Macaca mulatta: one gene and its partners. The main gene of each other region encodes a partner of the protein of the gene in region 3 in a complex. Links are inferred from orthologs where the notes say so. Each region holds a gene or a part of one and is shown on either strand. Other genes may lie near its edges.

Region 1 (4,313 bases), on a different chromosome or scaffold from region 3:
CGCCTCGACCTCCCAAAGTGCTGGGATTACAGGCGTGAGCCACCGTGCCCAGCCGTGAATTTCTAACATTCTTTTAGTTCTCTGTACATGCTAAGGGCATCGGCTGCATCATTTCATCCAATTTTATCATCAGCGACCTTATGAGGCAGGCACATAATTATCCCCATTTTACAGAAAGGAAGACTGAGGCCCAGGCAGCAGAAAACGCCTCTCCATAAATACCCGGCTGGTAAGTTTCAGAGCCAGGAAACCAGGTCTTCCAGAGACTCTAAGAGCTGCCTTTTTAACCTCTCCCAGGCCTGGGTAGAATTGGAAGACTCCCTGAGGAGGTGTGCTTGCCTGGGCCACGATGAATGAGAATTTGACCAGTGAGATGGGAATTCTGTGTGCAGCCACTGCATGCCTTTGCAAGAGGTCCAGCCTGGGGATCCAGGACTTGCAGTTGGACGAAAGAGTTTCCTCTACCTCTGGGCTAAGGGCAAGGAGAAGGGACGGGTGCTCACCTCAGGGTGAATACACAAGTTTTTGCGGGAGCTCAGAGCCAGCCCCAGAAATGGCAGCTTCTCGCCCTCCTGCTTCTCATAGAAGTTGAGCAACTTTCGAAGCTCTTCGATCACCTACTCCAAAGTTGGGGGGGGGCAGGGGGAGCTTGTGTTCATTGGAGGCACAAACCCCTGCCCTGCCAGGCCCCAGCCTCTTCCCGAGCTTCCCAGACACCCCCGAAAGCTGGTGATGGCCACCACCAGGGGGACCAATAGGGCCTAGGGAACAGTGGAGCTGGAGCACCAGGATGAGTCCAGGCTCACCTTCTCAATCTCCGGCACAGTTCTTGAGCAGTAGATGAGTTTGGTCACCTCCAGCGGATATGCCTGCCGATAACAAGTGGACTCAGTCCCTGTCCTATCCCTTCTTTTGTCTGCCTTTACGGGTTCAATGCATCACTCACCCGCTGGTATGCCATGATCAGGGCCAACAGGGACACTGTCTTCCCAGTGCCTGAGGGCATCTCCAGGACTCCATGACCCTGCATGTTGGGAACCAGAGGGACAACACACAGGGTCTCAGAACCTCGGGCACACAAACTCTGGGGACTCTCCCTGACCTCCAATGCCACCAACTTGGAACAGCAGGATAACACAGCAGCAGTTAAAATTGGGCAGTGGGGTTCAAACCCACTTCTGCCTCCTCCTTGTTGAGTGGTCTTAGGTGAGTACCTTCACCTCCCCAGACCTCAGTATCCCTACCTCTAAAATGGGCCTAAGGCCGGGCATGGTGGCTCACGCCTGTAATCCCAGCACTTTGAGAGGTCGAGGCAGGTGGATCACCTGAGGTCAGGAGTTCGAGACCAGCCCGGCCAATATGGTGAAACCCCTTCTCTACTAAAAATACAAAAAATTAGCCGGAAGTGGTGGCGTGCACCTGTGATTTTGTCTCAAAAATAAATAAATAAAATAAAATGGGCCTAATAATAAAACCTTCCTCATAACATGACTGTGAAGATTAGTGAGAAATTGCACATTAAATATTTAGCACAGTAGCTGATATATAGTGAACTTTTCTCCCTTCTTTTTTCAGAGACAGGTCTCACTCTGTTGCCCAGACTGGAATGCAACGGCACAATCATGGCTCACTGCAGCCTCCAACTCCTGGCCTCAAGCGATCCTCCTGCCTCAACCTCCCAAGCAGTGGGGACTACAGGCAAGCACCACCACACCCAGCTAATTTTCTAATTTTTCGTAGAGATAGGATCTTGCTGTGTTGCCCAAGTTGGTCTCCAATACCTGGCCCCAAGTGATCTTCCCGCCTCCACCTCCCACCAAAGTGCTGGGATTACAGGCACTGAACCACCGCGCCCAGCCTATTGACCATTATTATTTTATTTATTTTTGAGACCGAGTCTCACTCTGTCGCCCAGGCTGGAGTGCAATGTGGCACTCTGTCGCCCAGGCTGGAGTGCAATGGCGCCACGTCGGCTAGCTGCAACCTCCGCTTCTCGGGTTCAAGCGATTCTCCTGCCTCAGCCTTCTGAGTAGCTGGGATTACAGGCGCCCGCCACCACACCTGGCTAATTTTTGTATTTTTAGAAGAGACGGGGTTTCACCACGTTGGCCAGGCTGGTCTCGATATCCTGACCTCAAGTGATCCGCCCTCCTCGGCCTCCCAAAGCGCTGGGATTACAGGCGCGAGCCACCGCGCCCAGCCTATTCACCATTATTATTTTAGATAACGGAAGATTATGGGGTCCTGGATTTCCAAGGACCTCCTACTTCTAAAATCCAGACGTCCTGCAATCTGTCTTAGGCCCAGGCGTGGCAGCCCCACTGGTCGAGTGGGCGGGTCGGGCCCACCGGCCACCCACCTTGGCGTCCAGCGTGCGTTTGAGCTCCCGCATGTAGGAGAACTGCTCGGGGTAGATGTAGTCGTAAGGGAAGTAGACCAGGAGCCCGTCCACGTTGAGCCTGGCGGCAGTGGCTGCTGGGTCAATCCCCGTCCCCTCAGCCCCTCTCCCGCCTCCACACTGCCCGGTCGTCGGGCCCAGAAGGGTGACCTGCCCGGCGCCCCTGGTAACCCTCAGGTCCTCAGGAGCCTCAGTGCCTCCTCGCTATCACCGCTGTTCCCTGCGGCTGCCCCCGCCCCACCCCTTCACCCTCCCCTGGCCCCACTGGGGACCCAGGCACGCCCACCGGTGACCCCATCTTCAAGACACCCCCGCGCCCGCTCGCGAGCCGCGACCCCCCGGCCCCCTTCTCACTTCATGGCGCCGGCCGGAGTGTGCAGTGGCGTCCACCCGCCTCCCTCATGAATATTTAGCGAGAGGCCGGGTCGTGGACATCCTCAAGGGCTCGCTCCACCTATATTACAAGACCATTGGCTGATCTGCCCGTCAATCTGCTAGGGCAGAGCCAATCGGGATACTGCGCGTGCGCACGGAAAAGCGAGGGCTGCTGACTCTCGGGAGAGGCGGTTCGGGAGGCGTCACTGAGGATCGTCGAGGGCCAATCAAAAAGAAAACATGGAAGGGAGAGATCCGAGAGAATCGATCTCATTCGCTAGAATTTGGTCCTCCTGCGCCTGCCAAGATTGTCTGAGTATTGATCGAACCCAGGAGTTCGAGATCAGCTTGAGCAAGATAGCGAGAACCCCCGCCCCTCCACCTGGTCTCAAACAAACAAACAAAAAAAATTCGTCTCAGTAGCGAATAGAGATTCTAACGGAGAATGACAGGGACACTGGTGATCCTTTCTGGGCCCGAGAGTTAGAAATGGCTTTGCAGCACCAAAAATGCATTTATAAAATACGTGCTGTAAAACAAAAAAAGTAATACAAATAATTTTTAAATAACATAAAATAAAAACAAATGAATGAAAACAAATCAAAATAAAATAATATACATGGTCAAAATGATATAAAATACAGGATGTATCCCAGACTTCTGTGGTATAAATAACTTATAAACAGCTCTTCCTATTTATTGAGCACCTACTTTTTGCCAAATACTGTGATAGGTGTTTTAATAAGGGAATAACGAAAAGGCAGTGTGGTTTAGTGGCTAAGTTGTGGGCTCTGGAACCAAAATTCCTGGGTTCATAATCCTGGCTTCACTTTTGTTGCCCAGGCTGGAGTGCAATGGCGTGATCTCAGCTCACTCAAACCTCCACCTCCCAGGTTCAAGCAATTCTCCTGCCTCAGCCTACAGATTAGCTGGGATTACAGGCACACCACCACACCTGGCCAGTTTTTGTATTTTTTTTAGTAGAGATGGGGTTTCACCATGTTGACCAGGATAGTCTTGATCTCTTGACCTCGTGATTCGCCCGCCTTGGCCTCCCAAAGTGCTGGGATTACAGGTGTGAGCCACCACACCTGGCCTGGGGTTACACTTTTGTATCTGCAAAGTAGTTAACAATCAGACTATCTACAATGTAGGTGATGCTACATTGTAGCATTACAATAATCTAATTGTTAATTAGAGACTATTACTATTGTTAATTACATATTACTATTGTAGATAGTCTGTTAATTAGGTGAGTTAATTTCAGATCACATAAAGCAGTTAAAACTGGGTTTAGCACATACTAAGCATTCAATAAATGCTAGTTTTGGCTGGGCATGATGGCTTACACCTGTAATCCCAGCATTTTAGGAGGCCGAGGTGGGTGGATCACCTGAGGTCAGGAGTTCGAGACCAGCCTGACCAACATGGAGAAACCCCGTCTCTACTAAAAATACAAAATTAGCCAGGCATGTTGGCATGTGCCTGCAATCCCAGCTACTCAGGAGGCTGAAGCAGGAGAATTGCTTGAACCTGGGAG
Region 2 (3,555 bases), on a different chromosome or scaffold from region 3:
CTTTTTTATGCTGGTAGATATCTTTTGGCATTTTGAAGGGCATGCCCAGCAAGCCCCTTAGAACAAAAACTTTGAAGACAGGGCCAGTCTGGATTGAAGCTGTATGATGAGTACCTGCAGTAGTGCTTGGCACACAGTGGTGCCCAAAAAATATTTGTTGACAGACTGATAAGTTTCCAGATTCTTTGAGTAGCATATTAGAAGTTAGGTTGATGACACTAGTTCTTTATTGTACATCTCTATTCCATGTAAAAATGTGTTTTCCTTGACCATTTTTTTTTTCTTAAAGTTATCAGGATCAAGTAAGACTATCTTTTGCTCATTAAAGAATGAAATGAGAAGAGAACTTTTCCTGAGGTAACTAGGCTAGGTTGGAAGACAAAAGTATTTTCCAAGCATTTAGGTATAGTTATCTAAAGTCCATTTGTAGTCTCAGTTGTGAAAGCTTGAGCGATAGAAGGGAGCTTAGCCTGAGAACAGTTCTCTCCTTTAGGTAAATAAAAGATGTTGTAAGGATGAGGTGTTTTGTCAGTTTCCTAGGCTGGCTGGCTGGTATTGCCACCGACGCTGAGCAGCTTTGGTGTGGGGATCTTATAAAATGCAGCTGCTGATTCAGAGAGCTGGGCATAGTACTCTGTAGTTGTAATGAGATTCCAGGTGATACTTCTGCTGCATGTTCCAAGACCACATTGAGTAGCACAGGCAGGTCCCCAGGTGATTTGTATGTACGTTCAAAAGTCTGAGAACACTAGCGCAGTAGTCTTCAAACTTTTCACTTTTGTATCCCCTACTTTTTTCTGAAAAATTGAGTACTACCTTGCACAGTTTTAAGGAATCATCTGAAAATATTTTATTGTATGTTTAATATTTTCAAGAGTTGTAATTTCCAGCACGTTGGTATTTTTAAATGAATATATATTACTTTATATGTGATGGAGTCCAGATAGCATAGGAGTGACATACAGTTTTAATACCTTGCATTATCCATTTAAAAATTAAGAAAAAGTTTTTAATAGATGGAATTTTATGTTCCTTTTTGTTGTACTTCTTGCAATAAAAGTTATGTATCAACATTTATACTTTTTTGTGTTTATATCCTATAAGTTTTAAGAATTAAAACTTTTCTAGGTTGAGACGTTGCTATCATTAATAGTTGTACATAGCTGATCAATATTACATGTATTAAAAGTGTTGCTGGCCAGGTGTGGTGGCTCATGCTCATAATCCCAGCACTTTGAGAGGCCAAAAGGAAGGATCACTTGAACCCAGGAGGTCAAGGCTACGGTGAGCTATGATTGTGCTAGTGCGGTCCAGCCTGGGTGACAGAGCAAGACTCTCTCTTTTTCTTTTTTTTTTTTTTTTTAAATAAAGTTATCTAAAACTTTTTCCCAATTTTTTTTTTATATATTTGTGGGTGACTTTTATGTATTTCTAGGATGAGAAAAGATTTAGCATTGATTATGCTATTTTTTTTTAACTGACATAAATTCTGAGAAACCTTAGTCACATAAGTAAGAAGATGGCAGTGAATGGAGTTTAATTATAGCCATGCATCAGGTCCTTGAATTTCTTCTAAATTATTCATGAAAAATTACATGATTTATTGTAAAAAATTATGTTGTTCTGCAGTTTTGATAAGCAAAGAATTGGGAATTGGCTGACTTGCCAAAGGAGATGTTAGAGTTATTTACTTTTTCAACACCTGTGTTTTCACCTTCAGATAATATGTAATGATTTTGATTGTGAAGCTTTGACTATGTAGGCACAGCTGTCTAGGAGATTAACTTGTGGAAAGGGTATGTAAGGAAATCAAAGATCTGCAAGTTAATTGTTTTAAAAGTATCTTTGCAAAGTACCTGTTGGTCTTTGTGTACTTACTGGGGTACAATTACCCAGCTGGACTAGAGGGGTCTCGTAGTTCTGTGGGAAGAGAAGAAGAGGTAGCAATGTAACTAGTCATTTATATAATAGCCCTGTATCTAAGCCCAAATGTTCTTAACATTGGGATTGCCAATACTTTAGAGATATAAATGTTTATTTTTGCAACTGTTTTAATCTCATTTGTATTTAATATCATTGAGTTACTAGGAATTTGGTCCTTAAAAAATGAAAGCCCACTTGGAGTTTGCAGAACATGGGTAGGTAATAAAGACCATGTTTGCCTAGAATGACCTGGCATTTTACCCATTCTAAATACCTGGGACTGTGCTTTTGGGGGCCTGTTTGAGAGATTCTACCCAAATTATTTAGCACAAGGATTAAAGGATGATTGAATCAGATTTAAAGGCTCTGATGACTCTAGTAGCCCCAAAACATCAAATTAGATATTTTTTTATCTGCTAAAAATAATTAATATAATGTAGAAGGGTTTGTTTCAAGTGAAGCTGGCTTTGATACTGGAAATGGGCTGGATCAAGTAATGCCTACTGTTTACTTGTTAAAACTTCTCATCAGAAGTAAGTTTTTTGAATAGTTGAACTGGAGCCATTGTGGATAAAAACTCTTTTCTTTTTCATTTTTATAGCCATTGGAGGGAAAAGGAAGAAGGATTTTGCTCAGACAACAAGTGCTTGTTTAAGTTTTGTCCAAGAAGCTCTGCTGAAGCACCAATGGCAGCAAGCTGCAGAATACATGTACAGTTATTTTCAGACCTTGGAAGATTCAGATAGCTACAAAAGGCAGGCTGCACCTGAGGTAAACAAAGTTTGAGTTTGCTGGAAGAAATGATAGATTCCCAGGAGTTTCTGCCTCCAGCTTCACCTTCACCTATAGTACCTTTTACAGAATCTCAGTGATTTTGCTAAAAGCTACTAAAACTACTTTTGGGTGGAGAGTTTGTATTGGGACCTTATTTACATACTTCTTTTTACCTGTTATTTTAAAGGAGAATAAAATATTCATTCCAATAATTCTTCCTTTTCCCCCCTCTTTATGGATGTTTCCCATCATCATGTAAAAATTTTGTTACTCTTTTTTTTTTTTTTTTTTTTGAGACAGGGTCTTGCTCTGTCGCCAGGCAGGAGTGAAGTAGCACAATCTTGGCTCACTGCAGTCTCCACCTCCTGGGTTCAAGTGATTCCCCTGCCTCAGCCTCCTGGGTAGCTGGGACTACAGGCGTGCACCACCACGCCCGGCTAATTTTTTGTATTTTAGTAGAGACGGGGTTTCACCATGTTGGCCGGGATGGTCTCAATCTCTTGACCTCATGATCCGCCCACCTTGGCCTCCCAAAGTGCTGGGATTACAGGTGTGAGCCACCATGCCCAGCCTATTCTGTCTTAAAATCGTCTTTTGGCCCAAACTTCCCCCATTGACTATGCTTCCTAGTTTTACTCTCTTTCAGCAAAACTTCTTGAAAGAGTTGTTCTCTTTTTCCAACCAGAGTGATCTTTTTTTTTTTTAGTTTTATCAAGACGTTGTTAATACACCACCATCCATTTAAATTGTACGGTTCAATGTATTTTCATATGTTTACAGAGTTGTGCAGCCAACCATTACCACACTCTAAATTTAGAACCTTTTTTTCTCCCATGAAACCAAAACCCTGTACCTACT
Region 3 (4,199 bases):
GTCACCCAGGCTGGAGTGAGTGGCGCAATCTCGGCTCACTGCAAGCTCCCCCTCCCGGGTTCAAGCAGTTCTCCTGCCTCAGCCTCCCGAGTAGCTGGGACTACAGGCGCCCGGCACCTCACCTGGCTGTTTTTTTTTTTTTTGTATGTTTAGTAGAGACGGGGTTTCACCGTGTTAGCCAGCATGGCCTCAATCTCCTGACCTCGTGATCCACCCGCCTTGGCCTCCCAAAGTGCTGGGATTATAGGGGTGAGCCACCGTGCCTGGCCTAAATCTGGCTCTTCAGATTCCAAGAGAGAGAGTACAGGAGCCTCTGCTCAGTCTGAAGAGCACCCAGAAGGAGGGAACCTCAGCCCTGAGATGGAAGGCTCTCCTGGCAGCACCTCCTGCAGGGGTACCTGTGGAACAGGCTGGCCCCAGGGCTAGGAGAATTCATGGCCCAGTCGGCTTCCCTGGGCTGCCGCGGTGTGAGAGCTGGGCCTAGTCCTGGCCCCTGACATCCTAGTGAGGGCTGGGACCTTGGTAGTTCTGAAAGACCTTTACTGGATTGTTCCTTCCAGAGTGGGGGATGGGACACACACACGCTGTGGCGAGGCATTGCGCCAGCTCCTGGATGCCTCAGCCTTGTGAACTTGGGGCAGGATGCTCATGGCCCATGGTCAGCATGGCAGGTAGGCGGATTCCAGCCTGGTCACTTCTCCAGGGGTGCATAATTGAGCAGCTTCTCGATCAGGTCCACGTGGGCCAGCAGCATCCGGCGGCAGCAGTAGCGCTTCAGGCCCAGGGCGTCCAGCGCATCCCTGTGTCAAGCGAGGGGAGGAACAGAGAGGCCAGCTGAGTTCTCCACGGTCTGCACAGGCCTGGAGCCCACATCCAGGCCGCCTCTCACTGCCTGCTGGCCTCACTCCCCTGCTACCGGCAAGGCGAACACATTCACCTGGATGAGAAGTAGAGACCTAGGGGTATGATCCTGGTTGGAGTAACCTGGCAATGCCCAGATCCCTGGGTGGAGCGTGAGGAGCCTTCTCTCCCACCTACTCTGGCTGTACATATGTGTGTCTAACATATGTAAGAAATATAAATGAAACGAAAACTAGAGGTAATTGGGGGAGCATAGAAAACCAAGGCCACCGAGGTCCTGATGCGCAGCTCCCCTCATCCCGCACCAGCCACAGCAGGGTAGCTCTCCAGGGGCCTGCCCTTAGCTGGTTCATCCCCCACCCCAGAGCAAGCCCTACTCTGCCACTGTGGCGTCTTTTCTCACCTCTGCTTCCTTCAATCAGGGAGAGACTGCTTCTCCAGGGAGCCACCTCTCCCATTTCCCAAGCCAATTAGAAGCTTTAATTTCCCTGGGACCAAGGTCCAGTCACCATCAATACTTCCAGAAAACTCCCACACTGATGGCTCCAATGTGCAGAGAGAGAAGCTTGGGAAAGGGGAGGCCACATGGGAGGCCCCTGCAGTTCATATCCCTGGGAAAGGGTCTGGACAGGCCACCAGCCACTCACTCTGGCAGCCCACTCGCTTTACTCATTCGTCCAGCAAGCTGCACTGAGAGCCTATGGCAGGCTGGCACACACGAGCCTGGGGTTTCACATGTGACCAGGACTCAGCAGGCAAGGGTCAGACTCCAGCAGGGGCACCAAGACTCAGGCACGGTGGTGACAGCAGCACCGAGGGACAAGCACAGGAGAAGGATGCCTCCCCCACAAAGCCCGATGATGAGGGTGGTCAGCAAGTCTGCCCTGCATTTCTTTTTCTGTGTGTGTGTGTGTGTGTGTGTGTGTGCGTGACACGGAGTTTCACTCTCTCATCCAGGCTGGAGTGCAGTGGCGTGATCTCGGCTCACTGAAATCTTCACCTGCCTCCCAGCCTCAAGCGATTCTCTCGCCTCAGCCTTCCAAGTAGCTGGGACCACAGGTGTGCACCACCAAGTCCGGGGAATTAAAAAGATAAGAGGGCCAGGGGCGGTGGCTCACACCTGTCATCTCAGCACTCCAGGAGGCCGAGGCAGGTGGATCACCTGAGGTCAGGAGTTCGAGACCAGCCTGGCCAACATGGCGAACTCCTATCTCTACTAAAAATACAAAAATGAGCCGGGCGTGGACACGCCTGTAGTCCCGGCGACTGGGGAGAATTCCTGGAGCCCAGGAAGCAGAGGTTGCACTGAGCCGAGATCGCGCCGCTGCACTCCAGCCTGGGCGACAGAGCGAGACTCCGTCCCCAAAAAAAAAAAAAAAAAGAAAAAATTTCTGGAGATCAGGGTCTCCCCAGGTTGTCCAGGCTGGTCTCGACCTCCTGGGCTCAAGCAAGCCTCTCGCCTCGGCTTCCCAAACTTCTGGGATTACAGGCGTGAGCCGCCGCGCCCGCCCGTCCTGCAGCGAGGTTTGCAGGACATGGGGTGGGTCTGGGAGCAGAGACGAGAGATTAGGACGGAGACCAAGGGCTTTACTGCGGGTGACAAGACGCCTGCCACCCGCCAGGCCACCTAGAATCCCCAGGACACCACTGGTTTGAAGCCCAACTCCGTTCTCTCCCCAGACTTCAGGGGACAATGTTCTCCCGAAAGCAGATCACAGAGCTGGGCCGGAGTGGCCGGGTATGAAGCTGCTCATGGAGCGCCGGCCCCAGGCAGCGCTGCGCCTCCCGCCCCGGCCCGCACCCCAGGGCGGACTCAGCCCCCAGCCCCGGCCCCAGCCCGCGCCTCACCCCTCAGTGTACTCGGCCTGCAGCAGCCCCAGGTAGGCCTCCCACTTGTTGCCGACGATCTTGCCGCAAGTGAAACACCGTACAGGAATGATCATGGCGGCGGCGCGTCCCAGACTGCCCGGCCCGGTCCGGCCGCACGGGAAGCACTCCCCCCAGGCCCCGCCCCGGGCGCGTCCACTATCGCGGGGGGACCGGCTCCGCTCGTTCTCCGCTGCCCCAGCCGTTCATACACTGGCCCCGGCGCAGCTGGCCGCAGTTTCCGCCGCCATGGGGATTCCCCATGCGGCCCGGGGCTCCTGGGCCTGCACGGCCGCGGCAGCAACAGACGACACACCCCCGCCCACCATCTTGGTGCGTCCCGGAGCTACGGCGTCTGAGCAGGGCCGAAAGCCGCGGTGGCGGTTCGCGTTTCTCGTGTCCGCTTGACTGACAGCTGCGCGGAGGGAGCGGACGAAGCGAGCGGGAGGCGGCGGCGCAGGTAGAGCGCCCGGGGGGTCGTGGGGGCGTGCGGCCAGGGTCTCGCGGCCCGAGGTGTCCGACCGGGAGCGGCTGGAGCCGGACGCGAGCGGGGCGCGCGAGTTCGAGCCTAGAGCCGACACGCAGCAACAAGTGGGGTCCGGCGCGGGGGCTTGGGGAGAGGGCGGGCGCGGACCGGGGCGGGTCTTCCTGCTGCCCCTCTTGGCCCCGCCGGGTAGTGGGTCCCTCCGCCTCCGCCTCTACTCGCGGGGTGTCCGGGGCTCTCGGCGCCGAGTTCGGGGGTCCCATTCTGGACGCGGCCCAGCCCCTAGGAGCGCCGTCCTGGCCTCGGCCGCGCAGTTACGGCCCCCGCCGGCTGCTCCCCGCCCCGGCCTCCTGTCCGCGTTCTTTCCGCTCCTTCCCAGGAAGGGGGTCGGGGTGCGCCCTCCCCGGTCCCGGCTCTGCTGGGCTGCTGGCCGTCCCGACGCTGAGACGCGCCTCTGAGCACGGGGAGAGGGGGCCCGGGAGGGAGGTCGGGGAGGGCGTCGTGGAAGAGGTGCTCTTTGAATTGAACCTTGAAGACCCCGGCACAGGGGACCCCTGGGCAGACTCCCGGAGGCTGCACTGGCAGGACCCGCTGAAGGCCGCAGCTCTGCCTTGCCCTGGAGCTCAGGGCCTACGGAGGACGAGGGAGGGGGAGCCCGTGTCTCTCGGATGGAGTGCGGGGGGGCTGGCACCAGCACCCTCCTTGCTGTGCCCCTAGGGTGGGGGTGAGGAAATGGGGGGTCGGTGTGCAGTAGGAGGCAAAGAAGACTCCTTGGAGGTGCCAGGTAGGCTGTGGGGGGGTGGGTGGGCTGCAAAGTGGCACCCATGGGGGGGCTCTGGGCTGGGGCTTCCAGCTGGGGTGGGACCTGTGCTGGGTTCCAGGCATCAGCTGCCGCTTTCTCAGGGCAATGCTGGGTCTGCCTTAGTTGCAGGGGAGGAGGATGAAGGGTTTTCTGGATCCAGAGTGGTGCTGGCCAGATCCACTGCAC
Region 4 (4,172 bases), on a different chromosome or scaffold from region 3:
AGACTCCTCGAGGAGCCCCAATTTGATGTCAGACCTTCCCTCATAAGGAAGCCATCCCTGACCCCTGTTCCCCAAGCCCCCACTCCACTCTCTTTTTATTTGCTCATCCATTTGCCTCTGCCAGGCCTCATTCCTAGACAGGGTGTTTCCAAGGGGAACTAGGGGGCTGAGGATTCTAAGCAAAGGGCCAGTGTCCCTCCAGAGGCACCAGAAACCCTGGCAGGTCTATCCTCCCCTCTCCCAATCCTACTACGCTGTTTCAGCATCCTTCTGGTTTCATTCCAAGCTCTGATCACATTTTGCAAACACCTTATCCATTGGATAAAGTTCACTTGTTTATTCTCGCTCAACTCAGCTCTCCGTTCCAGGAAGGAAGGGGTCAACCGATTGATTCAGGCAGCATTTCCAGGGTCTCACATGGCATCTGGCATAGTGGGGGCATCCGTCTAGGGATGGCAGGGTAGCCCACGTGCCCCAGAGGAGGTGGCACAGCCTGTGTCTCAGCAGACTTGTGTGAATGCCACCCCACTCTGTGGCCTTTCAACCGGTATGAATGTGAGACAGGGGACCCAGGAAGGGGTGTTCCTGGAGCTGCCAGGGCCGCTGCCTCCATCCTCACCTCTGAGTTCTGGGGCTGGGTCTCCGGCAGAGTCAGCGCATGTTGCCAGCTGCACGTGAAAGAGAGGTCAGCGATGTCGCTCAGACCAAGGGGTCCAGTCATGAACAACGCGGGGCGGAGGGAGTGGGGGAAGTCCATCCCGGAAATAAGGACCAAGCACCACACTGGCCACCTCGAGAGACTGGAAGCTGGTAAGGGGCGCCAGGGTTCCTGCGGAGAGAAAAGTGCACGATGGGAAGCACATGCTCTTTGAGGAAGCAGGTAACAAAAAACAAATATGTAGCCCAATGCCAAGCAGTAATGAGAACTGTATTAAAGCAAACCACCCGTCCAGGAGAAGGGGATCTGGTAATGGGCTGAGGGCACGGTTTCAGCAAAGCCAGCCAGGAAAAGCCTCGTTGAGAAGGTGGCGTTTGAGCACAGCCTGAACCCAGTGAAGGAGAGAACCACGTACACAAATGGGGAGAGGGTTCCAGGCAAAACGATCAACAACTGGGAAAATCCTAGAGCAGTGAAGTGTGTGAGAAACGAGGCAGCCAGAGTGAGCGAGGTGGAGAGCGGTAGAGATGGAGTCAGATAGACGGCAAGGGGCAGCCTCTCTCACAGCTCAAAACGTCATCATACATTTACAGACTACACCCCCAAGACGCTGGAGTTACTCCACAGCCACGGACTGCATCTCAGCATTGTCTTCCTATTGTCAACCACAGTGCCTCCCAGAAAATGCACTACGGGTTGAATAAAAATAAATTTCTATCACAAGAGACCGGGCACGGTGGCTCATGCCGGTAATCCTAGCACTTTGGGAGGCCAAGGCGGGTGGATCACCTGAGGTCGGGAGTTCGAGACTGGCCTGACCAACATGGAGTAACCTGGTCTCTACTAAAAATACAAAATTAGCCAGGAGTGGTGACGCATGCCTGTAATCCCAGTTACTCGGGAGGCTGAGGCAGGAGATTTCCTTGAAGCCGGGAGGCGGAAGTTGCAGTGAGCTGAGATCGCGCCATTGCACTGCAGCCTGGGCAACAAGAGCGAAACTCCATCTCGAGAAAAAAAAATTATATCACAAGGCTTTGGTAAATACAGTCCTCTAGAAGTATGAGCAGCCATAGCATCCCTCCTTTTTAATTAACAAAACAAAACAGGGGCAAAAATAACAGCAGCTCTCACTGACCAAGCGCCAGCATCTATCTGCCAGGCGCAAGCTAAATGCTGCACTCTTCTACCGCAGCCCCTGTCACGGAGTTCAGGAAACCAAGGCTCAGCAAGAACTTTAGTTCAACAGCTCTTAGCTGCCACATCCAAGACTTGATTCCCATCCGATTCAGAGGCAGAGCTCTGAACCACTGCTCTCGCATGCACCCAAATGCAAACGCTAGCATTAAGAGTCTCGCGAAACAAAAATCTTTTCCCTTCGGCCGAGTGCGGTGGCTCCCGCCTGTAATCCCCGCACTTGGAGAGGCCAAGGCGGGTGGATCACCTGAGGCCAGAAGTTTGAGACCAGCCCGGCCAATATAGTAAAACCTTGTCTCTACTAAAAATACAAAAATTAGCAGGGCGTGGTGGTGCACACCTGTAATCGCAGCTACTGAGGAGGCTGGGGCACGAGAATCGCTTGAATCTGGGAGGTAGAGGTTGCAGTGAGCTGGGATCATGCCACAGCACTCCAGTCTGGGCGACAGAGCAAGACTCTATCTCAAAAATAAAATAGAAACAAAAATATTTTCTCTTGGAACCGCATAGCCTGAAACGATCCTAGGCAGGCGGAGAGGGCTGGTGGAGCGCACGACCCCACAGAAGCCCTCAGACAAGGCAGCCTCGACATCCCCGGCCGGCTTCCCGCCCTCGCTGCGGGCTCTCCAGGCCCCTTTAGACCTCCCAGGCTACAGGACTCAGTCGGGTCCGCACTAACGACAGGCCGGGGACTGCGAAACGTGAGCCAGCCGCGGGGACGGGGGATTGAGGGAGTCCCTCCCCTCCTACATCTGCGGGTCCACTCCTCTCGAACATGCCCAGTCCGCGCGGAGGGGGCGCATGCACTTACGTGACCCCGGTCTCGTCGTGGTCGTCTGGAAAATGGGCTTCGGCGTGATGCTCGCCGGACCCTGACACCACGAGGGAAATTTTAAGCAGAACCCCAGCTTTGGCACTCAGGATGGGTCAGCCCCGCCGCAGCTACTCACGGTCTTCCGGTTTGGACCGGAAGTGCCTGCTGGTGAGGCAGGAAGTCCCACCTCCCAGCCAGGCCTCTTAGGGTCCTGGCGCGCCCCCTCCCGGGAGGAGAGGGAACGGGCGTGCAGGCGGCGCGTGGGCTGCGGAAATAAAGCTCCCTCGAGTTCCAATAGTGGAGGCCGGGTGGACTTAGGTTCGAATCCCACATCTGCTTCATCAATTTCCTCAGCGTTGTATTAAATTAATCATTTAACGAACTCTCACGGAGCACCTACTATAAGCCAGACACTGTATTAGTCAGTAGGTATCCTACTGATTGTCCTTAAATCCCAAGAAGCGGGCTTCACAAATAAGGGTACAAATACCTCCTAAGAGTGAGGCTTTTCCAGGGGTGGTCGTGCAGGGAGAGCTTTAGGCAGTGGTCCTCAAACTCTAGCTAGTGTGCGTCAGCATTAGCACCTGGGGGGCTTGTTAAAACACAGTCTCCAATTCGGTGAGTCTGGGGTGGGGCCTGATAATTTGCCTAAGTTCCCAGGTGATGCTGATACTGCATATCTGGGGCACATGCTGTAAGAACCGCTGTCCAGTCATAAACCTTACCATTATCCTAACATAGTAGTTCTCAAACTTGAGTGAGCCTTAGAACCACCTGGGGGACTTGTTATAAGTATGCTGGGCTCCACCCTACCTCTGCCCCCCGATTTGCTAATTCAGTAGGTCTGGGATGTGGCCCAAGAGTCTGCATTTCTAGCAAGTTCCCAGATGGTGCTGGTCCAGGGGCCATACTTTGAGAACCGTTGCTTCAAATAATCAATTTCCAAATTCTCAGCTGTCATCTGTATCTTTATTTATTTATTTTTTTGAGATGGAGGCTAGAGTGCAGAGGCGTGACCTCGGCTCACTGCAACCTCTGCCTCCTGGGTTCAAGCAATTCTCCTGCCTCAGCTTCCCGAGTGGCTGGGATTACAGGCCTGCAGCACCATGCCCGGCTAATTTTTGTATTTTTAGTAGAGGTGGGGTTTCACCATGTTGGTCAAGCTGCTCGAACTCCTGACCTCAAGTGGTCCGCCTGCCTTGGCCTCCCAAAGTGCTGGGATTACAGGATGAGCCACCGTGCCTGGCCTATATATTTTTTTTCTGGAAGTTTTTACCTGGACTAAAAGTGTCAGCAGGGCTGTGTTCCTTTTGGGAGGTTCTAAGGAAGAGTCCACTGTGTTGCCCTTTCTGGCTTCGGGAAGCTGCCTGTGTTCCTTGGCTCATGACCCCTTTCCATCTTCGAAGCCAGCAATGCCAGCTGGATTCTTCTCATGAGGCCATCTCTCTGGTTTTGAATCTTCTGTCTCCCTCTTTCCCATGTAAGGACCCATGTGATTATAGTGGG
Region 5 (3,555 bases), on a different chromosome or scaffold from region 3:
TCTTAATTCTTTTCCATATCCCTGCCAAGATAATCCTCATAAAACCACGTTCCCTTCAGAGTACACTGTAGCCAGAAATGTGAACACGAAATGTTCAAAAAGAGCACAACACTAAAGTATTTTTAAAATGTAAAATGGAAGACTAATTTTGAGGCTAACAAATGTTAGCTTTCTAAATCACTGTCTTTGTAGAAGCACCAGAAATAAATCATGTTTTCAAAAAATTAGTCACTTAATAAGATGTAAAAAATCTGTAATAGGGTACTTTTTTCTACAAAAAAAAGTTCAAGTTTCCCTACCTCAAACTTTTATCAAGGCGATGTCTCCTTTTTACTATCTTGGTGCCATGCCTCTTCCACTCTAGGACAATCACAAAAGTAGAGAAAACCTCACAGGTTCAATGGATCTTATTAAATCTCATCAATCAAAAGGAATAGAGTTGTTGAAACTAAAACTCCTTAACTCTTTTTTTTTTTTTTTGAGATTGAGTCTCCCTCCATCACCCAGGTTGGAGTACGGTGGTGCAATCTCGGCTCACTTCTACTTCCACCTCCTGGGTTCAAGCGATTCTCCTGCCTCAGCTTCCTGAGTAGCTGGGATTACAGGCACCCGCCACCACGCCTGGCCAATTTTTTATTTAATAGAGACAGGGTTTCACCATGTTGGCCCAGCTGGTCTCGGACTCCCGGCCTTAGGTGATCTGCCCACTTCGGCCTCCTGAAGTGCTGGGATTACAGGCACGAGCCACCGCGCCCCGCCAAAACTAAAACTCTTTAACATACTGAATTCAAATGCGCTTTTAATTTCAGACAAATTTCAGATTTTTAGATAGGTCTATACTATGCCCTGAACTATGCAGCATGCAATAAATATTTGTTGAAAGGTTGAATCTTCTCCAGTATAAAATGGATGTATTGAAGAAACTGTTACTTTTCTGCCTTCCATACTACTACACTATTAATTATTAGAGCATCAGAAAACTGCAGTGAAACCAACCTTCTACCTTCAACTACATAACTGAAGAATTATAATTTACCATTTTGTTATACTGTACACCCAAGAAAAAAAGAATAATTTTTAGATCATTTTATGTAGCTATTGGTAATTGAAGACACCACAAAAAAATTTATGAGGATGTACCTTTTTTTAACCAATGGTGTTCTTAACATACTATAATTTCTTATAGCTTCCTTTGCAATGTTTGATGAAATACAACAAAATCACAAATGTTTTCTTTTATCAATAAGCTTTTTGAACCAGATAGCAGAAAATTAGCTCCATTAAACTAAGGTGGCCTGTTGCTTTAATAGTATTCTAAACTCAGTGAAAGATAAAAATCCCAAAACATGGAAAATATACTCATGCTGAGTGTGTGCCACAAGAAAGTTCCTTCTGTATTTAATTCACAAATGGAAACATTTGCTTCTGATTTATTGAACTGTTAAAATATCTCATTGCAAACACACACAATCTTAAAACTCTACACAGAAACTTCTTAGAAGCCAATATCAATTAAAAGTTATCTCTGTGCAATAAAAAGGTCCCCTTGGTATACAAAGCATACAAGATGAAAAATTCAGACTAAAATATTCCCTAATATCGAGCTGTATTTTTAAAGTACAACTTATACTTGCTAAATATCAATTTACTAAAACAAGCAACGATGACCTTATCTTGGCAAAATTCAGAATACTGTTTCTTCAACATCTGAGAAGGCAGCTTGATGAACCACATTCTTCCATCTGCTTTGTTCTATATCTTCATATCCCAAATAATTAAACCCTTCTCAAGTAATGGCCAAAATTTCATTAATCACAAGAAAGTACACAGAGCAGAGAAGTAGCATAGTATGAATAACAGAGGTACACAAAATGAGAGATGGAACAGTCTTGGTAATGACCTTAAAAAAGCAAACAGGAGGCCGGGTGCGGTGGCCCACGCCTGTAATCCCAGCACTTTGGGAGGCAGAGGCAGGCGGATCACCTGAGGTCAGGAGTTTGAGACCAGCCTGACCAACATGGAGAAACCTCGTCTCTACCAAAAATACAAAATTAGTCGGGCATGGTGGTGCATGCCTGCAATCCCAGCTACTCGGGGGGCCGAGGCAGGAGAATCGCTTGAACCTGGGAGGTGGAGGTTGCAGTGAGCTGAGATTGTGCCACTGCACTCCAGCCTGGGCAACGAGAGCGAAACGCCATCGCAAAAAAAAAAAAAAGCAAACAGGAGTGTATGTTGAGACAGAAAATCTATACAACAAGTACAGGAATCACATTAAATAATTCCATTCCCACTTACCTGATGAGCTCTCAGTAAACACTGTTAATGTCTGTCCTCCGACACTTTGCAAGACAAATGGGTGTTCTCTAGGAGCACTGACTGAAGCCGGTTTTCCACCAATATCATGAATATTTGCAAGGTCCTCATTCAAAGTAAATGACACCTAATAGACACATTAACCAGAGATTATAACAGACTTTTGTATTCAAACTACATATAAAAAAATTTTAGTTATAAATCAAATTGTTTTTAAATGTGTTTTCCAGTCATTTCATTAAACACTTTAACTTTATTAAAAACTCCTTAATACTTGCTCACAAAAAGAGAATGTAAACTGGACACACTGGTGCACACCTATAATCCCTGCTACTTGGGAGGCTGAGGTAAGAAGATTCCTTGGGCCAGGAGTTCCAGGCTGTAGTTCACTATGAAAAGCCATTGCACTCCAACCTTGGCAACACAGCAAAACCCTGTCTCTTAAAAAAATCAAAAGAGAGAAAGACAATCTATTCCCGTTTGTCAGAATAATGGGGCTAATAAAAAAATAACAAAATCACATCCTTTGCAGCAATGATGCAGCTGGAAGCCATTATCCTATGTGAATTAGTGCAGAAACAGAAAGCCAAATACCACATGTTCTCACTTACAAGTGGGAGCTAAACATTGGGTAGACATGGACCTAAAGATGGGAACAATAGACATTAGGGACTCCAAAAAGAGAGAAGAGACCAAGAGTTAAAAAACTACCTATTGGTTACCATGTTCACTATCTGGGTGACAGGATAAATATCAGCCCAAATCTCAGCATCATGCAACATACCTATGTAACAAACCTACACATGTACCCCCGAAATAAAATAAAAATTACTACAACTAGTAAGAAAATAAAAAACAAAAACAAAAAGAACAATGGGGCTAATCTACCATCATAAAAAAAGACAGTTTTCATGTTTTCTCTAGTCTGTGGCTGAAGAACTCTTTCCAAAACAGGGGTAAGATTATTTTTTTCCAGCTGGGCGCAGTGGTGCTGGTAATCCCAGCACCCTGAGAGGCCGAGGCAGGCGGATCACTTGAGGTCAGGAGATTGAGACCAGCCTGGCCAACATGGCAAAACCCTGTCTCTACTAAAAATACAAAAATTAGCCAGGCATGACAGAATGAGACTCCATCTCAAAAAAAAAAAAAAAAAAAAAATCATCTTTTTTCTTTTTTCCTAAAAATCTCTGAGGTCTGAGGTCAAGGGATCATGTCTTACTATATTTTATATCCTTAAGATCT
Region 6 (4,190 bases), on a different chromosome or scaffold from region 3:
AAAACAAACAAAATACAAATGAGTTTGTCAGTACAATTTACCTCAACCATTAAAAACTATTTAGTCCTTCTCATTACAAGAAAACCAATTCAAATATCCGGGTTCTTGCTTTACTGTTTCACTCACTAACCTGCTTTATTTTGCCAAATCCTCCTCTTGAAGTTTGTTCATCTGTAAAATGCACATTTCTATAGTCCCTACTTTAACATTCTAATTCTATATATAAGGAAAGTATATCTGACTATGGACATCATCTTGCCTAAAGTGACTTAACTGAATTACAAAAGTATCTCTGTAAAGTGTGTGTGTGTGTGTGTTTTAACCAACAATGACTCCTCAAGACATCAGGAGGGCAATATATTTTAAATTGGGAATATCAATCTCAAATTGACAATATGTATGCTTTTCAGTAAACTAGACGGTGTTTTGGTGTTTCTGAAGTCAGTTACCTCTAAAAACCTGTTGCCTGGAGATCCAGACACGTATAGGTATAAATCTGCTTTCTTCTAGTACTCTCTACTTAATGAATCATTATTTAAGATTTTATTTTTGTGTCTTAATGAACTCACAACTTGACCACTTAACAGCTTCATAAGCTCTATAGTTGAAGGAAGGGAAATGTGTACTCTTCACAAAATACATGCCTAATAAGTAATTTAGCAGAATTGTTCACAATTTGAAAAGCCCTCAAGGTAATTTTTGAAAAGTATGTGGGCACATAGTTAGTATTCGAAACAAGAAATTTCTAAATTATTACTTAAAATTCTACGCTATATTTCAGGCAAAGCTTCTATCACGAAATACAATTTAGGTTTATCCTGATTTTTAAAAAACAGGTTATTTCAAACTTAAGAACTGGTAAATAAGAGGGCCACTAGTGGCATTAAGTGATTTGTTAGAAGGTTTCCTTCAAAAATGTTAATTCCCTGATGCAATGCTGGAAGATAAACTGGAATAATTTTTACACCGGATATCCATGTTAATATCCAAGGCAATAAAGTTCTACTTAGAATTTTTTTTAATCCAGTTTGCAGCATGTCTCTTCCCTGTAATTACTCATGATTCTCATACACATAAATGGTCCTATACTGAAGCTTTAGGTACTTATCTATTTCTCTGAAAAGCCTCGTGTCTTTTATATTTACTATAGGAAAACATAATGTAATATTGGGAGCTATATTTCTAACATATTTCTTGAATACTTAAACAAAACACTACCAAAACCGAGTCCTCTGCAGCTAACACTTTCAGTGTAGAAAACAGTTTTTTAAATTCCCGAAAATAATGCACACAAGAAAAACGGCTAGACCATCTTATCTAAAACTCTTTGTTTTAAATTATAAATTTTGAAAACTGTAAACAAAATAAAAAGGGACAGCGATTCGGATATATTTCCCCTAGCAAACAAAGAAGGCAAATCCTGGCTGCTGCTAGGAACAAAACCAAAACTTGGGGCTCTGAAAGCAGCCCCCGACGGATGAGAAATTACAGCGTGAAAAAAGGACCTAGAAATAAATTGAGCTCTGCACGCGCCTGGCTCTCGCCTCGGGAGCACGCACCTCCCAGCCCCGCTCTCAGCAGCTCTCACTATTTAAAGCCGGATCTGGTGTTTAAATGGAGAGGCGGTGACGTAGTACTGAAAAGCACCTTCCCATCCTGGCAGAGTCTATATTAGAGAGCGGCAATGGCTCTATATAAACAGGGCAGCCAAAGGGAGGAGGACCACAAGGCTCAGGGACTGAAAAGCAGGGTAAGCGGCCGCAGCCATGATGGATCGACCCGAGTCGCCAACGGTACGGTGTCGGGCGGCCGCGGGCTGGTCTGCGGCATTTGGGACAGGGCAAAAACGTGTTTTATTGTCATCATAAAAATAAGAGTTGGGTGGACTAGTGATCACATTGCGTTGGTGACTGAAAAGGTTATTTATGTGACTGCTTTTTGCAAACCTACGTGATCTCAAGTAACCAAAAAGGGACCAACGGGAAGAAGTAGGTAAATTTCAAGGCGAAAGCGGGGACACTTGGACCACTGCAGGCTTTTTTTGTTTGTTTTGGTGCTTCTGCTAGTCGAAGATACGATGGGGGTCTTCCCCTTCGCCATTTTACCCATTCGGAAGGAACTGAGATAAGTGCTTTTCAACCAACCTTCCTCCTTTTTTTAAACATAAAATGGCCCCAGTGAAGGTTCCCAAAGCACAACAGCCAGAAAAAACCTAAGTAACCCCCAAAGTAATCATTATTCTTCCACTGCATTAAAGTGGATCACGGTGGGTCTCGGGGGTTCGCCCGATTCCCCAGACACGGTTTTTGTTCTGCAGCCGCTCGGGGAGCCCTCGTCAAGACAGCACGGACGGGCCCCTCGCGGGGAAGCGGCGGCTCCCCTCCCGCCCTCCCTCCCGGCGGCCGGGTTCTGGGGCCGGGGCTGCACGCCCGCCCGGGCCCAACGGCCTCCGCGGCCCGGCCCGGCCCGCGGCTGCCCCAGGCCCCGCCGGCGCCCCCGCCCTCCCCGCGCCGCGAGCCCTCGGCGCCCCCCCGCGCCCGCCGCCCGGCGCTCCGGCCCGATCCGCCCGAGGCGGGAAGCGGCGGCGGCGGCGGCGGCGGCCGCGCGGACGGCTGAAGAGTCGAGGCCGGGAGTCGCCGCCGTCCCCGCCCCCGCCCGGTCCGGCCGTTGCTGCCGCCTGAACGAAGCCCCCGCCGGCCACCGAACCACGTCCTTACCACGGTGTTTGTATTTGCCGAGTTCGCCATTTCCACACACAACACAAACAAGAGGGGGCAACCCCAAGAAAACAAGATAAAAACAAAACCAAAAAAAAAAAAAAAAACTAAAACACCCGGAGGGTGACCCAAATCACCACAAGATTGGGGAAAAAATTTTAAACAAAATCAATCCTGAAGGAGTAAGGGAGAGCGGAGAGAGGAGGAGGGGGGCACTCCTCCCGCAGCTAAAAACCTCGAGAATCGCCTTTAAAAAAAAAGCCACGACCCTTTAGGGGTCCGGGGGGCGTTGCCCGCTCCCCACCCCGCGCCAAGGAGGGAAACCACCACCGGTCGCCGCTCCCTGCGCCGCCGCTGCCGCCACCGGCTGCAGCTCCAGCCGTCCGGTCCGCCCGCTTCTCTCCTTTATATAGCGAGCCAACAAGCTGCGCGAGCCGCCACCGCCGCCGCCGCCGCCGAGAAACAGGGTGAAGGGGGAGGGAGGGGCGGAAAGGGCGGGGGCAGATGTGGGCGGGGCTGAGCGCGAGACACCGCGAGAGCCGCGTGCGCAGGCGCGCCGGGGCGGAGGCCGCCGCGAGCCGCGTTGTCACGCGCCGTGGTGGGTGCTGGGCTGGCGGAGCCCGGGGAGTGAACTAGTGTAGTCGGACCTACGCCTCTCCAACGCTCGCCTGATCACGTGGTTGGCACCCAGGCGGAAGTCTGCGGCAGTTCTTTGCGGTGAAGTACTTGCAAAGCATTGCTGGAAAAGACGCGAGTTCTAGTGACACTCCGAAGCTAGGTGGGACCGCCTCCTGTCGCAGGTTTCCGCCCGGTCCCGCGCTGTAGGAGTTAGGAAATGTGAGAGGCGGTGCCTACTGCCTCACTAGGAATGGCCGCGGAGGAGGATTGGTCACGTGGCGTAGCTTCCGGCCTCTGGCGCGTTCCTATTCGGGAAGGTTTTAAATGCGGAGTCATCTCTTGATTTGTCAGTGAGGCTTTGACTATAAGCTTCTCGGCTTTCGCGCCTCACCAAGGGTGGGTCTTTCGCGCGCAGAATTGTATAGGATTTCCCAAAGGGAGTAAACGCCGATCGGGGCCCACTTTTAACATTCCAGAATTAGTAACCTCTGATTCGTTTGTTTCCACACTGGGTACGCTGCGAAGACTAGGCTTAAGTTGCCCAGAGGTTAGTTCTCTACTAGCCCACGTACTTTAATTTATCACGCTAGTGGAGATGCGGTGGGGAAGAAAACCCCACCAGCCTTTGGATTATAACAGCACAGTAACTTTCCCTGGTTTTTAAAAATATTGCCAAAAACTGCGACTCCGCATGGCCAACGTATAGTGACTGATCACATTGAAATGCATGCCCTTGACCCAGCAACTCTCATGGCCTCTCGCTATAAGAGAGCAAGCAGGCTGTGTTCCATGTGCAATTCAATAAGCTTTTGACCTATTCTGCCCAAGCAAATCCTGCCTTTATATCGACATTGC
Region 7 (3,555 bases), on a different chromosome or scaffold from region 3:
GGTAGAGTGGATGAGGTGCTGTCCTGGGGGGCACAAGACTTGGGCCTGTTCTCCTGGCTCTGCCACTGAATCGCTGTGTATGGGGCCTTTGGTAAGTCATTTTACTTCTCTGGGCCTGGTCCTTATGTGAGGTGAGCCAGGTCTGTGTGGTGTTCTCCAGCTCTAAAACTGTTTTGTCTGAGGAGGACTGAGATTGGAGAAGAGGAGGCTGAGCTCTGCTTCTGGTTTTCTGTGGGAACTATGGGAAAGGAGCGCTGCCTCTCTCTGTCTGGTGCTTCTATAAGAGGCGGGTTGGGCTCAATTGCCATGAGCTCCTGGCACCTGCCAGTGCCACTCTTGTGAGCCTGCGAGGATGAAAGAAGAGATGGACATTGCGTGGCAGCCAAGAGAGGAGGTTGATGAAGAGAAAGAGACACATTGGAAAGGAGGAACAAGAGGGAGACTTTGCAGAAGTGGGGAAAGATGCAGGGAGGGAGTGAGGTGAGGGTGGGAAGGCAGTGGGGAGGCCAAAAAGGGGGTGATGAAGGGAAGGGAAGCCAAGTGGTGGGAGAGAATGAGTGGGCTGAGGGAGGGAGGGCTGGAGGGGACAGACAGCTGGGATCCTAGAGAAAGGGAAGAAGGTAATGGTGTCAGAAATAGGCGGGAAGGTGCAGGGCAGCTGGCTGTGACTTGTATTGGAAGAACTTACTCTGGGTTCCCCTCCACACAATCTCCCCTCATGCCTTGGAAATAGGACTCAGCCCAGCCCTGGCCCCATGTAGAGGCCACCTCCAAGGGGCCAGACTAATGTCAGCTGCCTCATAGACAGTGAGAAGAGGGAGCAAGGCCTGCACCCGACTCCACTGTGAGAGTTCTGTGGTATTGGAGAAACGAGTGGGGGAGCCTCAGCGCTGCCACCACGCACTGTGTGACTGTGGGTAATGCCATGGCCCCCTTCTGGGACTCTCGCTCAGAAGGAGAGAATAGGATATAGGATTCAGTGTCTGGGCAGCCCCTGCAGCTCCCACCATCTGTGGTAGAAGCCAGCAGGTCTGCTCTGTGGTGAGTCCCGCCGGGAGGCGGGCAGGGCACCAGCCTCCACTCCCTGCATCACAGCGTGGGAGGCAGAAGAGCCAGCGAGGAGGGGCCTGGGTAGCCTTCATAGCTCAGGGCAAGATACCCTTGGGTCCTGGGTGACCCTATCCCCTCCTCCCCCCAGATGAAATATATTCAGGACTTCCAGAGAGAGAAACAGGAGTTCGAGCGAAACCTGGCCCGATTCAGGTAAGGCAGTGGAGCCCAGAGGAGGGCTATGGGGAACTGGGGGCAGCAGAATAGGCTAACCCTGGCCAGAGCCTGGAGTTTGCCATCTCTGAGGCATGGAAGAGGATGGGTCACATGTGAGCCCTAGTGTGTCATGCTCAGGGGCAGGGACAGGCAGGCAGCCACTGTCCCACTAAGCCCCAGCTGAAAGGCCCAGGAGGCTTGGTGGGTGGGGCAGCTAGCTTGGGTCTGCCCTGACAGCGTCCCCTGCTGATCCTTGCTCCCCATGTCCTGGCTAGGGAGGATCACCCCGACCTAATCCAGAATGCCAAGAAATCGGACATCCCAGAGAAGCCCAAAACCCCCCAGCAGCTGTGGTACACCCACGAGAAGAAGGTGTATCTCAAAGTGCGGCCAGATGTGAGTGTCCGGCCAAGGGCTGGGGATGGAGGATGCACGGCGGTGGCCAGGGGGGAGCCGCACCAGGTCGGCCGGGCACGGTGCAGGGGAGCAGGAGAGGAGGCCCCTCCCCAGGGGTGGGCTGCATGGACAGGGCCCGGGCCAGCTGGCGTGCGAGCGTGTGCGTGCGTGCGTGTATGAGCCAGTCCCCTTGCACCTAGGCGGGATTGCCGCTCTCCGCCTTCCCCTCCTGGCCTGTGGGGGACACTGATGTGACCTCCCATGGCCTGAGGGGGCGGGGGCATCTGTGCCCCCTTCCCCCCTCCCCCTCCCCCTGCCCCTGGCTGCCTGTGCGTGTCTGACGGCTTTTGGTTTGCAGGCCACTACGAAGGAGGTGAAGGACTCCCTGGGGAAGCAGTGGTCTCAGCTCTCGGACAAAAAGAGGCTGAAATGGATTCATAAGGCCCTGGAGCAGCGGAAGGAGTACGAGGTTAGGCTTCCGCTGCGCTCCTCCCTGTCCGGCTCTTCACGAGCCTCTGCCCTCTGACTCCGTGGCCACCGCACTCTGCGGGAGGTGTCACTCCCCATCCTCTGTTGAGGGAGGGGCCTTCTGGGCCCCTCACCTCTGCCCCTACCTTCCCCACCCCCCACCCCTATGAGATCTCAGGCTAGGGCAGGGCAGGGCACCATGTCTCATGTGACACCATTGACGCGCAGCCATTCCCAGCTTTGCTCCCTGCCTGCCCTCCCCAGCGGCTCTCCCCGTGCCCCTGCCGCAGCTAACCCCACACCCCATTGCCCTCCATCCCCCCACCTGGCTCTGCAGGAGATCATGAGAGACTATATCCAGAAGCACCCAGAGCTGAACATCAGTGAGGAGGGTATCACCAAGTCCACCCTCACCAAAGCTGAACGCCAGCTCAAGGACAAGTTTGATGGGCGACCCACTAAGCCACCTCCGTGAGTGCTGCCCTGGGGTGGGTGGGCGAGTGGGCAGCTGGGAAGTTGGGCTGGGCTCTACGGGTGAGGCGGCCTGCTGTCCTGCTTGCTCACGGGCTGCGCCTCTCTCCCCATGGCTCTGATAGGAACAGCTACTCGCTGTACTGCGCAGAGCTCATGGCCAACATGAAGGACGTGCCCAGCACGGAGCGCATGGTGCTGTGCAGCCAGCAGTGGAAGCTGCTGTCCCAGAAGGAGAAGGACGCCTATCACAAGAAGTGTGACCAGGTGAGCTGTGGCAGGGGCCACCCTGCCTTGGGGTTTTGAAGCATGAGGTCTGATCCCATCTTGGGCTAGTCAGTCCCTGGTGGCGTGTGCCTTGGGTACTTGCCTCCAATTCGGTGTGGGGCTGGGCTGGGCTTAGCAACTGAGCCCATCCAGGCAGGGAGTCCAGCCCACACCCAGGCTCTGGAGGCCCACTGAAGGTCACTGTCCTCCGAGTACTGCAGGGTCTGTGGTGACACTGTCACCAGAATGATCCTGACTCCACTCACTTTCCCAGAAAAAGAAAGATTACGAGGTGGAGCTGCTCCGTTTCCTGGAGGTAAGTGTTCCTCCAGTAGGGCAGTGGGCAGAGAGGACTGGGGCTTGGCAGGCAGAGCCCTCGTGAGCCCTGTGCCCCTCTTTCCTCTCCAGAGCCTGCCTGAGGAGGAGCAGCAGCGGGTCCTGGGGGAGGAGAAGATGCTGAACATCAACAAGAAGCAGGCCACCAGCCCCGCCTCCAAGAAGCCAGCCCAGGAAGGGGGCAAGGTGGGCAGAGGGTGCGGCCGCGCAGGCGGGGGTGGGCAAGACTGGGCTCCCTGGCAGCACCACGGACCCCGACCCTCTGCACCTGGACAGGGCGGCTCCGAGAAGCCCAAGCGGCCCGTGTCGGCCATGTTCATCTTCTCGGAGGAGAAGCGGCGGCAGCTGCAG

The links.
Region 1: POLR2L (region 3) and ERCC2 share a complex: the UniProt entries of both Homo sapiens proteins name them as parts of the TBP-based Pol II pre-initiation complex. The link is inferred for Macaca mulatta from reciprocal best matches to the Homo sapiens genes POLR2L and ERCC2.
Region 2: POLR2L (region 3) and TAF1A share a complex: the UniProt entries of both Homo sapiens proteins name them as parts of the pol I pre-initiation complex. The link is inferred for Macaca mulatta from reciprocal best matches to the Homo sapiens genes POLR2L and TAF1A.
Region 4: POLR2L (region 3) and TAF1C share a complex: the UniProt entries of both Homo sapiens proteins name them as parts of the pol I pre-initiation complex. The link is inferred for Macaca mulatta from reciprocal best matches to the Homo sapiens genes POLR2L and TAF1C.
Region 5: POLR2L (region 3) and GTF2F2 share a complex: the UniProt entries of both Homo sapiens proteins name them as parts of the TBP-based Pol II pre-initiation complex. The link is inferred for Macaca mulatta from reciprocal best matches to the Homo sapiens genes POLR2L and GTF2F2.
Region 6: POLR2L (region 3) and GTF2A1 share a complex: the UniProt entries of both Homo sapiens proteins name them as parts of the TBP-based Pol II pre-initiation complex. The link is inferred for Macaca mulatta from reciprocal best matches to the Homo sapiens genes POLR2L and GTF2A1.
Region 7: POLR2L (region 3) and UBTF share a complex: the UniProt entries of both Homo sapiens proteins name them as parts of the pol I pre-initiation complex. The link is inferred for Macaca mulatta from reciprocal best matches to the Homo sapiens genes POLR2L and UBTF.

The regions. Positions count from the first base shown.
Region 1 is NC_133424.1:57,890,432-57,894,744, forward strand, and holds the start of ERCC2 (general transcription and DNA repair factor IIH helicase subunit XPD), read right to left. Parts: upstream 2,810-4,313; 5' UTR 2,758-2,809; coding exon 2,753-2,757; exon of another isoform or gene 2,685-2,752; intron 2,460-2,684; coding exon 2,360-2,459; intron 1,025-2,359; coding exon 947-1,024; intron 870-946; coding exon 807-869; intron 618-806; coding exon 504-617; intron 1-503. UniProt on the Homo sapiens protein: ATP-dependent 5'-3' DNA helicase. Component of the general transcription and DNA repair factor IIH (TFIIH) core complex, not absolutely essential for minimal transcription in vitro.
Region 2 is NC_133406.1:80,428,569-80,432,123, reverse strand, and holds part of TAF1A (TATA box-binding protein-associated factor RNA polymerase I subunit A), read left to right. Parts: intron 1-2,524; coding exon 2,525-2,694; intron 2,695-3,555. UniProt on the Homo sapiens protein: Component of the transcription factor SL1/TIF-IB complex, which is involved in the assembly of the PIC (pre-initiation complex) during RNA polymerase I-dependent transcription.
Region 3 is NC_133419.1:734,152-738,350, forward strand, and holds POLR2L (DNA-directed RNA polymerases I, II, and III subunit RPABC5), read right to left. Parts: upstream 2,832-4,199; 5' UTR 2,805-2,831; coding exon 2,710-2,804; intron 801-2,709; coding exon 692-800; 3' UTR 419-691; downstream 1-418. UniProt on the Homo sapiens protein: DNA-dependent RNA polymerase catalyzes the transcription of DNA into RNA using the four ribonucleoside triphosphates as substrates.
Region 4 is NC_133425.1:79,551,607-79,555,778, forward strand, and holds the start of TAF1C (TATA box-binding protein-associated factor RNA polymerase I subunit C), read right to left. Parts: upstream 2,801-4,172; 5' UTR 2,641-2,800; intron 2,311-2,640; exon of another isoform or gene 2,193-2,310; intron 1,663-2,192; exon of another isoform or gene 1,540-1,662; intron 1,348-1,539; exon of another isoform or gene 1,244-1,347; intron 865-1,243; 5' UTR 758-864; coding exon 620-757; intron 1-619. UniProt on the Homo sapiens protein: Component of the transcription factor SL1/TIF-IB complex, which is involved in the assembly of the PIC (pre-initiation complex) during RNA polymerase I-dependent transcription.
Region 5 is NC_133422.1:24,463,049-24,466,603, reverse strand, and holds part of GTF2F2 (general transcription factor IIF subunit 2), read right to left. Parts: intron 2,441-3,555; coding exon 2,296-2,440; intron 1-2,295. UniProt on the Homo sapiens protein: TFIIF is a general transcription initiation factor that binds to RNA polymerase II and helps to recruit it to the initiation complex in collaboration with TFIIB.
Region 6 is NC_133412.1:154,446,080-154,450,269, forward strand, and holds the start of GTF2A1 (transcription initiation factor IIA subunit 1), read right to left. Parts: upstream 2,824-4,190; 5' UTR 2,748-2,823; coding exon 2,718-2,747; intron 1-2,717. UniProt on the Homo sapiens protein: TFIIA is a component of the transcription machinery of RNA polymerase II and plays an important role in transcriptional activation. TFIIA in a complex with TBP mediates transcriptional activity.
Region 7 is NC_133421.1:68,584,141-68,587,695, reverse strand, and holds part of UBTF (nucleolar transcription factor 1), read left to right. Parts: intron 1-1,198; coding exon 1,199-1,263; intron 1,264-1,541; coding exon 1,542-1,662; intron 1,663-2,020; coding exon 2,021-2,131; intron 2,132-2,467; coding exon 2,468-2,601; intron 2,602-2,726; coding exon 2,727-2,868; intron 2,869-3,142; coding exon 3,143-3,184; intron 3,185-3,276; coding exon 3,277-3,390; intron 3,391-3,480; coding exon 3,481-3,555. UniProt on the Homo sapiens protein: Recognizes the ribosomal RNA gene promoter and activates transcription mediated by RNA polymerase I (Pol I) through cooperative interactions with the transcription factor SL1/TIF-IB complex.